3 linked regions of the Daphnia pulex genome follow. The protein of the gene in region 3 purifies or fractionates together with the protein of the main gene of each other region. This does not show direct contact. Links are inferred from orthologs where the notes say so. Each region holds a gene or a part of one and is shown on either strand. Other genes may lie near its edges. The genes, in order: THUMP domain-containing protein 1-like, protein AATF-like and RNA cytidine acetyltransferase-like.

The links.
Region 1: the proteins of RNA cytidine acetyltransferase-like (region 3) and THUMP domain-containing protein 1-like purify together in Homo sapiens (co-immunoprecipitation; 3 studies listed by BioGRID and IntAct, counting the BioPlex papers as one, with this or other methods). This does not show direct contact. The link is inferred for Daphnia pulex from reciprocal best matches to the Homo sapiens genes NAT10 and THUMPD1.
Region 2: the proteins of RNA cytidine acetyltransferase-like (region 3) and protein AATF-like purify together in Homo sapiens (affinity purification with mass spectrometry; 3 studies listed by BioGRID and IntAct, with this or other methods). This does not show direct contact. The link is inferred for Daphnia pulex from reciprocal best matches to the Homo sapiens genes NAT10 and AATF.

What each region holds. Positions count from the first base shown.
Region 1 is NC_060018.1:5,172,288-5,175,361, forward strand, and holds THUMP domain-containing protein 1-like, read right to left. Parts: upstream 1,696-3,074; 5' UTR 1,565-1,695; coding exon 1,406-1,564; intron 1,353-1,405; coding exon 1,146-1,352; intron 1,092-1,145; coding exon 981-1,091; intron 912-980; coding exon 829-911; intron 764-828; coding exon 550-763; 3' UTR 534-549; downstream 1-533. Other genes in the region: 28S ribosomal protein S34, mitochondrial-like, read left to right, coding at 1-11, 76-288, 349-519; uncharacterized protein LOC124210585, read left to right, coding at 1,982-2,050, 2,119-3,074. UniProt on the Homo sapiens protein: Functions as a tRNA-binding adapter to mediate NAT10-dependent tRNA acetylation modifying cytidine to N4-acetylcytidine (ac4C).
Region 2 is NC_060028.1:5,997,779-6,001,799, reverse strand, and holds protein AATF-like, read right to left. Parts: upstream 2,848-4,021; 5' UTR 2,733-2,847; coding exon 2,642-2,732; intron 2,580-2,641; coding exon 1,768-2,579; intron 1,708-1,767; coding exon 1,640-1,707; intron 1,571-1,639; coding exon 1,174-1,570; intron 1,103-1,173; coding exon 951-1,102; intron 889-950; coding exon 687-888; 3' UTR 607-686; downstream 1-606. Other genes in the region: sorting nexin lst-4-like, read left to right, coding at 3,109-3,120, 3,277-3,438, 3,589-3,696, 3,764-4,021. UniProt on the Homo sapiens protein: Part of the small subunit (SSU) processome, first precursor of the small eukaryotic ribosomal subunit.
Region 3 is NC_060023.1:8,182,782-8,187,030, forward strand, and holds the start of RNA cytidine acetyltransferase-like, read left to right. Parts: upstream 1-1,417; 5' UTR 1,418-1,542; coding exon 1,543-1,650; intron 1,651-1,729; coding exon 1,730-1,821; intron 1,822-1,883; coding exon 1,884-2,055; intron 2,056-2,118; coding exon 2,119-2,303; intron 2,304-2,371; coding exon 2,372-2,573; intron 2,574-2,634; coding exon 2,635-2,839; intron 2,840-2,897; coding exon 2,898-3,156; intron 3,157-3,218; coding exon 3,219-3,348; intron 3,349-3,412; coding exon 3,413-3,561; intron 3,562-3,628; coding exon 3,629-3,710; intron 3,711-3,779; coding exon 3,780-4,249. UniProt on the Homo sapiens protein: RNA cytidine acetyltransferase that catalyzes the formation of N(4)-acetylcytidine (ac4C) modification on mRNAs, 18S rRNA and tRNAs.

The sequences.
Region 1 (3,074 bases), on a different chromosome or scaffold from region 3:
TCATGGACGAGGTACTATCTCTTCTTGTCTCTTCAAGTTATAATCTCGTTTGATTTTTTATAATTTTTTATCCAGGAAAATTTATTTGGAAGAGTACTTGTAGAAAAGGTATTTAGAGGAAAGTCTTTTGGAGAATTTGATTTGTCCAAAACTGCCTATAAGAATGACTTCAAACTGATTCCGAAAGATGAAGAAGAGTTTTACCTCAGCCGGACAATGAAAGCAGAAGATGTAGAAAAACTGAAAAAACCATTGCCTGAATTTATCCAGTTTCCTCCTCTTCTGAGAGTAATGAAATGTTTTCTTTTATGTGTAGAAAAAATTTTAATTATTTTTCTTTTAACTCAGGAAATGATCTCCAAACAAGAAAAAAATCCTAATCCTCTACTGAGAGCAGTATACAATTGTAGTCCTAATAATACAGTACATGTTGAGCCTGGCAAAATTTGCAACAACAAACAAATTGAAAATGCCAAAGCATCTCATCTGTATGAAAACTTAAATCATAATTTACAATGAAAAGAAAAATTAAATTGCAGTCAAAGATTTTTATTTGGCCTTCTGAGCAATTTCAACAAGATTGTACTTGGCTCGTCCTGAATAATTTGTAACTACACCCAAACAGCATGTTGCTCTTAGCACCTCAACGACCATACTTATTTCCGGGTTGTCGAGATCAACTTTAATTTCAGGAAACTTCTTCGAAACCATTTCCGCGATTGGTTCTATTAGGGCATCTCGTTTGATATTGTGATTTCTTATCCTGGATAAAAATTATTAGAATTACTCATGATTAATTTTCACAGTCAAAACATGAATGATGTTTACTTGATGAGGAGAGAAAATGTTTTGTAATCAGCCATTTGGTCAATGAGATTCTCAGCTGCTTTCAAGATATCTTCCTTCACAGACTATCATTTCAAAGATGATCATAAATTATTTATTAAATGTAGTGCATACATCAATATTGGGTAAAATACCTTGCAAGTCAGTTGAATTGGAAGCATACGTAACAGAAATTTTGTAGTTTGCTGCTTTTTCTTTTCAATATCATTAATTATTGCATCTACAACTGCTGAAGGATTTTCAACCTAGAAAAGAACTGTTAAGCTTGAACTTACATAAAAAGAACTAAAAATTCTTACTGTTGAGCGAATAAAAATGCATCCTTTAATGTTAGTCATAACACACTGGAATCTTCTTTCAGAAACAGGTGCAGCTTGCTTCTTTTTTAATTCCTCCATTTCTTTAGACAACTCATCTTCAATTTCTTCTTTTTTAACCTCTGACAATTCAGGCTCCTCCTTTGGTTTTTCACTACCATAAATGATATCAGCATACTCATTCAAAATCTTAAAGGATAAGTTAGTTATGAACAATAAAACAAATTATTTGTTGTGTTTACATTGTAGGCTTCTCTGACACTTTCTTTTTCTCTGTTTGAAGTACATAGGAAACCTTTCTGTCCAGGCCCTAATTCATTGGAGGATTTCCTAGCCTGCTTTGCAGATTTGATATAATATGCCTTGTCTTTGGCTTTGCGTTTGTTTCCGGATTCAGACATCGTTAAATGCTAATGTTAAAGGATGCTAATGGCTAACTTGCTCAAGTGCGCGTGTTAAATATGAAACTCGAATGCAGCAGACGGAAAAGTGGAAAACGGGCTCGAAATACAACCCCAAGCGACAACCGTTAAAACTAAATACACGAAGTTTCTTATATATTTTTAATAACTTAATATATATATAATTTTGCCTTCTTAGATTTTAAAATTATATTAATAAAAATTTGAAATAGTATTGATCTTCAATTCAAATCGTATTCATCGATAAATTTTCTTTCCATGCGTAGGTCATTTGTGAACGCACCGATCGACTTCTGACAGATGTTCAAAGTTTGTGTGGGAGCTGGAAGCTGTGGAAACGTTGGTTACCATTTTTGTCAAGCGTGACATGTAGGAAATGAAATCTGGTTGTTCAAAATGTCAAACACAAATACAAACTACGTCTCATGCATTCGAGTGGAAGGGAAACCTATTCTTCCACCTCTTGTAAGTTTTGATTTCTGTGACATGATTTTTTCTTTGTATACCTAACCATTCCAACTATCTCTGTCCAGATGAATGATGATAAACGACGAGCAATGCGGAAAATTAGAGATGAAGCTGTTGCAATTGAGTCCCGATTGAAAGAAAAACGACGGGCCCAACTTTTGGAGCAAGTCCAAATAATTCTTGATAAATGTGTGACACTTGATGAGCTGAATGTTTCAAAAGTGACACCCTCAAAGTATCGTCTCATCAGTGAACCTTTATTGCAAACACCAGTGAAGATCAACAGTTCTCTTTCTCAGCCAACAATTAAACCGCTGCCAGTAACATCATATTCATTACCATCCACTCCACTACTTGATGACGTTTCAATTGAGAATCTCCACAAGAAGTTTTTGTCCATGAAACAAGACTGCAAAGATGTTAGCATTTCAGAGTCATCAGCTGTAAGCACTGATCTAGGACCTTACATGCAAAACTCAGATTCAGATTCTAGCTCAACAGAATCTGGAACTTCAACACCACGGGCATTGACCATCTCCGATACTGATATTTCTACGAGCTTAGACTGTTCAACCCCTATTAAATCTCAAAGAATGCGGCGCTTATCTTACACACTGGAAGCGCCTAGCCCTGTACTTTTAAAAATGATGCAGAACAAAGCGGCTGAAGAAGAGAAACTTGCCGTTTTGAATGTGCCTAAACTGAACCTTTCTGATTCTGACGAATTGCAGGGAAATGATTCCAACAATGTTGAAGCCATGAAACAAAACAAGAATGTAATCCATGTTCCATCAATGAAATATTCTGCAACCATTTCGGATAAAAGTTCAAATATCAGCGAGGAAAATTCAACCCACAATTTAGTGAACTTGAATTTGCGTCCTAGAGATACTGAGGATGTCGTTAACGGAAACTCTAATGAAAAACAAATGATCAACACTTCTGAAAAGCCAAACAAATCTAAAGTTGAGCACATGTCTGTAACTTGCGATAACAACGGAAATTCACCCAGAACCCAAGA
Region 2 (4,021 bases), on a different chromosome or scaffold from region 3:
GAGAAAAAACGCCTTTCTCCACAAGGTTCTCTCGCGTGTTCCCAAACTTTAGGTAGGTACAGTATCGTCCAAAAAAATCCGAACGCACCTCTTTTTCAAAAGCCCAGTTTAGTGTATATTTTTTGTTTTTAGCTTTCAAGACTTCATATTATGTGTAGAATGAATTGTTTTACAAAGTTCATTTTTTAGGATTAAGAAAAAAATCTCGAAGAATTTTAAAAAAAGAAAGAAAGAGACCATGGTGTTCGGATTTTTTTGGACGATACTGTACTGTATTTACAAAATAATTACAAAAGATATTGACCGTAATGGAAGATGCTTTAGAATGCATTTTATGTAGTATATTAGCGTATTAGATCACGGGTAATCTCTCTTGCCTGTTGCCTTCTTATAACAAATATCGACTACATGAAACGTCCCAAATCAGACACTAGGTAAGGTTTTTGCTTTAGTTTTAGGTTTATGCTTATGCGAGTGCTCGTACGTTATACAGCTATTATTGCATTACTTTTAGGTTTGTGCGTTCCCTGAAAAGTGCCGCGAACGGCTTGCCATAATTTCTTGAAGCCTACATTAGAATACTTTAACAAAAACAATGTAGAAAAATAGGCTGTTCGCACACACGAGACTGAAAGTTTATTTAGACGTCTTATATAAAGAACATACATAAAAGACAGTCATCACAATTACTTAACAGTAGGCCCTGACCCGAACAACGAGGCAAACAGCTCATTTTTGGCAATGTCATTCCATGAAGCCTCAGGATACGGAGCCATGAAGGAAACAAGTTTAGGATGCACCTGATATCGAAGTCTTCGTCCTTTGCTTGCCTTTGAATCGACTTTTCGTTTGGCTTTCGATCGCAACTTTTGAATTTCTAACCATTGCCTGCATTTAAAGTTCACACTTAGAAACAACATGTATTAGATACAACACCAAACGCTACTAACCTTCCAAGAGCAATTTGATTTGAGCCAGCTTCGCCAGTTTTTTTTTCAATTAACTCACGAAGTAATTGATGATAGAAATCATCGTCATCATAAATTTCAGGATCGAATTCTTCATAATCGACTTCTTTAGTTTCGGGTAAATGTTGGTCATCCTAAGGAGAATTACTCAATAATTACTTGAACATATTAAGGGGTAAAAAACGATTGTTAGCTATCAAATTACTTGTATGTGTTCCTCTCCTTTTCCATTAATTGTATTTTCCTTGGGACTGAGTTTAGAAATAGATCCCAGTATGCGATAGGTAGATCTCTTTATCCGTGTACGATTTATCAACCGTTGCTTGTCGCTAAGGATACCCTCAATTTGTTTCAAGATAGATTGATCAAAAGCCCCAAATCCGGCTTTGCTTCCAGACCCCGTTCTCCCTGATGCTAATCTTGTTTTTTCATTCCACATGTTCAGTGTACGATGCCAAAAACCGCGCAATTTTTCGTGTCTTTCTCCAATCTCGGATTCATATCCGACTATTTTTTGTTTTTTGCGCTTTGGTCCTCCATCATCAATGTCCTCGTCGTCTTCTCCAGCTTCTTCGTCAGTGTCACTTGGAATTTCTTCATCACTATTTGACAAGGAAACACTTTTAAATTTTAATTAATGCCTTTTAAACTGAAAAATTAACATTTAATACCTGCCCTCTTCGTTAGACTTTCGTTGCGTTAATGCTTTTGTTTGTGGATTAGATTTAAGAAGAAGCTCCTGAATTTTTAATTTTTTTATTATTTTAAGTAATTTAAAATACAATAAAACAGGAATTACCTCTAGCTCAAGGCAGTTGTCCAATAATGATTTAATAGCTGCCTGAGCACCTTGACCTGCTGCAACAAAATGGTTTTCTCCACTTGCTTTAGTAAAAAGCTTGTAATTTGAAGGAGCTTGAGGTAACTGATTACATAAATTTATTCCTTTATGCATCTTTATACGACACTCAAGAAGATGATCCCATAATGAGAGTTGATTTTGGATAGATTTTCCCTTGTTTATATCATTATCATGAGAATTTTTTGACATTTTTTTAACTTTTTCATTTTCTTCTCCTTCACTGTCATCTACACTTCCAATGTCTCCTTCCTCTTCTTCCTCCTCTTCTCCCTCCTCTTCACCCTCCTCTTCACCCTCCTCTTCACCCTCCTCTTCACCCTCTCCTTCTTCAAAATCAGCTTCTTCGTCATCTTCAGATTTATTCAATTCACTTTCATTACTATCTTCTTCATGAATATCAGATTTCAATGAACCACTTTCGTCTTCTGATTCCTGGAAGATGTTGGGTTTCTCTGATTTGTTGTTTGTTTCTTTCATGAATTTGTTCTTAAATTCCAGAATATTTTCTTCCCCACTTTCATTATCAGATTCTAAAGATGACTCAGAACTTTTGTAGCCTTCTCCTACAGGAGAATTTAGATCTTTGCGACTGACACGCTTCCCAGCATATCGGCTATCTGAAACAGCTAATAATTCCACATTCTTTTGGCGTAGATTAGATTTATTTTTTGGTGCTTTATTCTTAACCACCTGAGTGTTATCATACGACTCATATTGGTCATCAAAGGACTCCAGCCTTGCTTTACTTTCTAGAAAGATTAGAAACACTTTAAGAAAAACAAGTAGGTGTTATTTTGTTTCAATTTGTTACCTTCGTTATATTCATCTTCTGGATCAGCAAACTGAGGTGTTGGATTGGCAAGTTCGGCTAATCTTTCACTTAGGGATTTGCCTTTCGACATTTCATAAATAAATGTTTCACAATGTATACATTTAAGTTTCAGTATTCTAAAATAATTGATACCGCGTGTCGCGTGTTTTACTACCAATACACGTTGCAGACGAATTCGAACAATCGTACTTCTTTTGTTTTTCTTTCAAACCAATGCAGTTAATATCTTTCTACAGTAGATGGCATTACTTACTAGACAGAAGAAACATTAGGGCCTTAAAATGTCACTCGGGTCTCAGATTTTGTAACTTATCGTTTGGTTTCAGATTCAGCTCTGCTCATCACTGACTCATTCCTCTCAGCTGTTATTAGGGGGCGAGACGAAATCAGTTTGACAGCACACAGCAGCAGGGGTATTGTAAAAAGCTGAGTTTTTATTCTTCGAGATGGCTGGTCAGGTAACTTTTGAGTTTTGATTCCGGTTTTTCTAATTATCAGTTTCGTCTTCTAGTTAGAACTATAAATTTTCTCACTCCTGTAACTGCTGTTACCATTTCATTAACCATATCCGGTTTCGAAACCAGTTTAATTTACAAAATGAATCGTTTTTCTAGGCGCGCGTCCTTTATGATTTTGAAGGCCAGCCTGGCACATCTGAACTATCTATTGTTACTGGTGAAGTTCTAACTGTCACTAGTAAGGATGTTGGTGAAGGATGGTGGGAAGGTAGTAATCAACGTGGAGTTAGTGGAATATTTCCTGCAGCCTACGTTGAGGTATGAATTTCTTCCTACTCCTGTTATGTCATGCATGCTAGTGTAAAACCAGAAAAGAATTTTGTATCATTTGGATTTTTCTGTATTAATAACATGTAAATTGAATTATTTTAAACCTCAAAAAACCATTTTATTGTATTAATTCAACAGGCTATTGAACAAAATTACAATGCACCTCCTGCTATGCCTCCTCCTCCATTGCCCCAGATATACGTAGAGGAAAATGTAGCTCCAGCGATTCAACAGCAACAATCACAGGTATTCCAAAAACATTGTGGAGATTCCTGGTAACTGTATTAATAAGGTATTTTCAATCTACTTCCAGTACGACGATGATTGGGATGACGACTGGGATGATGACGTTTCTGAAGCCAACCAAGGTAGCAATCCGGGAAACCCTGCTGCAGGTGGGAGAAGCAATAGCGACGTTGGTAGTGCGCTTGATGTCAACATGGCAGGGTTGAAATTGGGAGACGGTAAAGGAACCGTTCGTAAAAATTTGAACCGGTTTTCTCACTTCGTTAAAACTGGCGGAGAAGCTTACATTCTGGGGGCAAACAAAGTGACGTCCACTGATAGTGAC
Region 3 (4,249 bases):
CATAACTACTTTCTCACTAAAGCTGGTTTTGTGGAACGTGATGATGAAAGATGTGGATGCCTTTCGGCTAAATTGTTGGCAAATACTGATTAAAAACCGGTGTTTGACTTGATTATCGTACGGTTTCCGAATGATTAAATTACGCGGAGGCAAGACGTAAACAGTTGAAATTCTTTGATCGGCTCAGACCAGTCAAATGAAATTTCTTCTACATCTGGCGGTCATCTCCAAACTTGTTTTCTTTTTTCAATTTTTGTTCCAATATTTACATTAAGCTATAAGTTGTAATAATTTATTTTAAAAAATTTTATTTTTTGTTCTGCTTTTGAAAATTTGTAATCACTACTCGGAAATTGATTGTTTGTTCATAATTTTTGTGGGCGACTTTCATTTGAGTTTGTTTTAAGTTGTGTTTTTTTTTTTTTATTGTGACATGACCTGGTTTTGTGAAGAACGGGTGTAGTTAGGTTTTGTCGGCCGAAATGGAATTGTTAAATTTTACGGATCGAAAACCTCCCCTACCATCTCCGGTTCCTGCCCAGCGTCCTGTTCTGCCTCCGTACCCTTCGCCAATTCCCACCCGGCCTCCGCAATCACTTCCCGTTAGACCTTTCCCTTCAGTTCCTCTGCAACCACTTCCAGCTCCTCCTTCAGTTCCTGTCTATCCGCAACCGTTTCCAGCACCTTCATCACTTCCTGTCCGGCCTCTAATGCCGCCACCTACTCCTGCCTCCACCACCACCAACAACTGTCAAACCAGCCAGGCCCATTACCACTCGACCCACAACAACATCTCTTTCTCCTGACAAGTACTGGAAGCAAACTTGGACTACTTCGGCTCCCAATTTGATCTGCAACAAGAGGTGGTGTTGGGACGGTCAAATGTTTTTCGACACAATAGGCGATTCAACTGAGAAAAGCGTTAATATTTTCAAAAAACCTACACTACCGTGAAATGTGTTCACAATTTGATCACTAATACGCTCAATGCCTCGGAAACAATTAAACCAACGCAATAATCAATCAAAATTTAAATTATTAGCGTACACAAACATAAAGTCTTTCCACCGTAGATGTTCGTAGACGTGTCATACAGACAAATTTGTTAGGTACAAAACAAGCCTGATCTGCAGTCGTTCAAATGAGTTGTTTAATGAACCCTGACTGAGTAAACGAAAAAGGCTAAGGAAAAATAGTTTCAGTCCACCGCCTAGCTCAGGAATAATCGTACTCAGTACTATCTAAGTATCTAACGATTAATAGTATAGATTTAATAGTCAACAAGGAAGAATAGAGGTAAAATTTTTTCCTACCTTTAAGCCTGGGAAATACGGCCAGGCATCCATTCCATCCACAGAATAGTTGACTGTTACACCAGCCGCGAGCCCGCGAAAGAGAATTAAAGAGCAGTAGTCCGAGTGGTGAGACAGGGCTTGTGTGGTAGTAGTTAATGGCGGCCTCTATGATCGAGCATGACATACACGTCTGTGATTTAAACATTGGGACTGTCTCCTCGAACAATTTGTAATATTTCTGCTAAAAATGGTGCGCAAAGAGTTGGATAAGAGGATTCGCACCTTAATCGAAACTGGAGTAAAACAGGGACATCGATCCATGTTTGTAGTTGTCGGTGACAAAGCCCAGGATCAGGTATAAATAATAAAACTAACCATGTTTCTTTTGAGAAGAGACAACATGTGACACACTATTTTTTGGTTTCTTTTTAAAGACGGTTATTCTACACAATATTTTATCAAAGACGACAATCAAATCAAGACCCAATGTCTTGTGGTGTTACAAGAAAGACTTGGGTTTTAGCAGGTATTACATTTTTTTATTTTTGAAAGATGGGGATGCTTAAACATGTTTTTGGATACTTACAGCCATCGTCAGAAGCGAATGAAACAGATGAAACAAAAGAGAAAACAAGGCAAAGTTGACATCAATGAAGATGACCCGTTTGAGCTTTTCATCCTTTCAACCAACATTCGGTACTGTTACTATGCAGAGACACATAAAATTCTGGGTAACACATTTGGAATGTGTATTCTTCAGGTTAGTCTAATTTTTTGTGTCTACTTTTTAAAAAATTGTAAAACTATCCGTATGTTTTCACAGGATTTTGAGGCCTTGACTCCCAACATCCTAGCAAGGACCATTGAAACCGTCGAGGGAGGAGGCCTGGTTGTTCTCTTGTTGAGATCCATCAACTCACTTAAGCAGCTCCATACTATGGCCATGGATATTCATGCGCGGTACAGGACTGAAGCACACAACGACGTGGTTGGCCGATTTAACGAAAGGTAAAAACCCAAGATAACTTGTACATGTTTTATCACTGCAAACAACTAAAAATATTATTAATTTCTAGGTTTATTCTTTCTTTGGCCTCTTGCAATCGTTGCCTAGTTGTTGACGATCAACTCAACATTTTGCCCGTTTCGTCTCATTCCTTCGAGATTAAGACTATGCCTGCAGTTGAAACAGTTGAAGAATTGAAAGAACTGAAAGCTAGTATGCAAGATACTCAACCTGTTGGTTCGCTTTTGAACTGCTGTTGCACTCTTGACCAGGTAATTTAACACAATTAAAGAAAACAATGAACTCGGCATTTAACGAAGTACCGCATTTCAGGCCAAAGCTGTTCTCAAATTTGTTGAGTGCATTTCGGAAAAAACATTGAGATCAACAGTGGCGTTGACGGCTGCTCGTGGACGTGGTAAATCAGCCGCATTAGGACTGTCGATGGCAGCTGCAGTTGCCTTTGGTTACTCCAACATATTTGTCACAAGTCCTAGCCCGGAAAATCTGAAAACTCTTTTTGAATTTATTTTCAAAGGTGAGACTTGTTTGAGATCTAGTTGTGAAAAGTATTTTTCTAATTCCCAACATTTCAGGCTTTGATGCACTTCAGTACAGCGAACATGAAGACTACAGCATCACGCAGTCGAGCAATCCTGAATTCAACAAAGCCGTAGTGCGAGTAGATATTTTCCATGATCATCGACAGACCATCCAGTATATCCATCCGACAGACGCAGCCAAACTTGGCCAAGCTGAACTGGTCGTGATTGACGAAGCTGCAGCCATCCCTCTACCACTTGTAAAAGCTCTGCTTGGGCCCTATCTGGTTTTCATGGCATCCACCGTCAATGGGTAGGCTCGCTTGTGAAATATTAAAACTGTACACGTCAAGTTGATAATTGCCCGTGTTTTAGGTATGAAGGTACAGGCCGATCTTTGTCACTCAAGTTGATTGAACAGCTGAGAGTGCAAAGCCGACCCATGGGTGCTTCTACTAAACACAAGGAGATCGATTCAAAACTTCTGGGACGAAGCTTAGCCGAGGTGAGTTTATTTAGAATGGATTTTTTTGGGATTTATTGGTTAATTTTAGTTCGTTTTTATGTAGATTACTTTGGATGAATCTATTCGATACCGGAACGGGGACGCTTGTGAAGCTTGGCTGAATCACCTTTTATGTTTGGACGCAACTTTGGCTCCGCCTATGCCGGCAGGTTGCCCATCACCCGAGAATTGCGACCTCTACTATGTGGACAGGTGAGCTTGATTTAAATATGACTTGTTTGTTTGTTTCTAATTTGCTGAGTACTAAATGGGAATTTAGGGACGCGCTATTTTCCTACGATAAAGCATCAGAAGCTTTCCTTCAGCGTGTCATGTCCTTGATGGTATCATCACATTACAAGGTAAAACCAGACTACCTTTTCTTTACCCGTGCATCTTTTAATCCACGCCATTTAACTTGTTGATTTTAGAACACCCCCAATGATCTTCAAATGCTCTCTGACGCACCTGCGCATCATCTTTTCTGTCTGCTCGGGCCTCTGGCGTCATCAGGAGGCAAGACGCATGAAGTGTTTTGCGTCATTCAAGTCTGCCTTGAGGGTGACATTTCAAGCGCATCCATCATGCAAGGACTGGCTCGAGGACAAAGATCGTCTGGTGACTTAATCCCTTGGACCGTGGGTACGCAGTTTCTTGATCAAGATTTCCCGAAACTATCTGGAGCACGCGTCATCCGCATCGCCACTCACACGGATTACCAAGGCATGGGTTATGGTAGCCGTGCACTGGAGTTGCTGGAAAAATACTATGAGCGAAATATGATCAACATGGAGGAAACGGAAGAGTCCGAACACAAAGGCCTCAAGATTGTCAACGAAGAGACTGTTGGCGAGCTCGGGAAGGATCAAGGAAAATCACGAAAGTTGCGACTTTTGCTGAA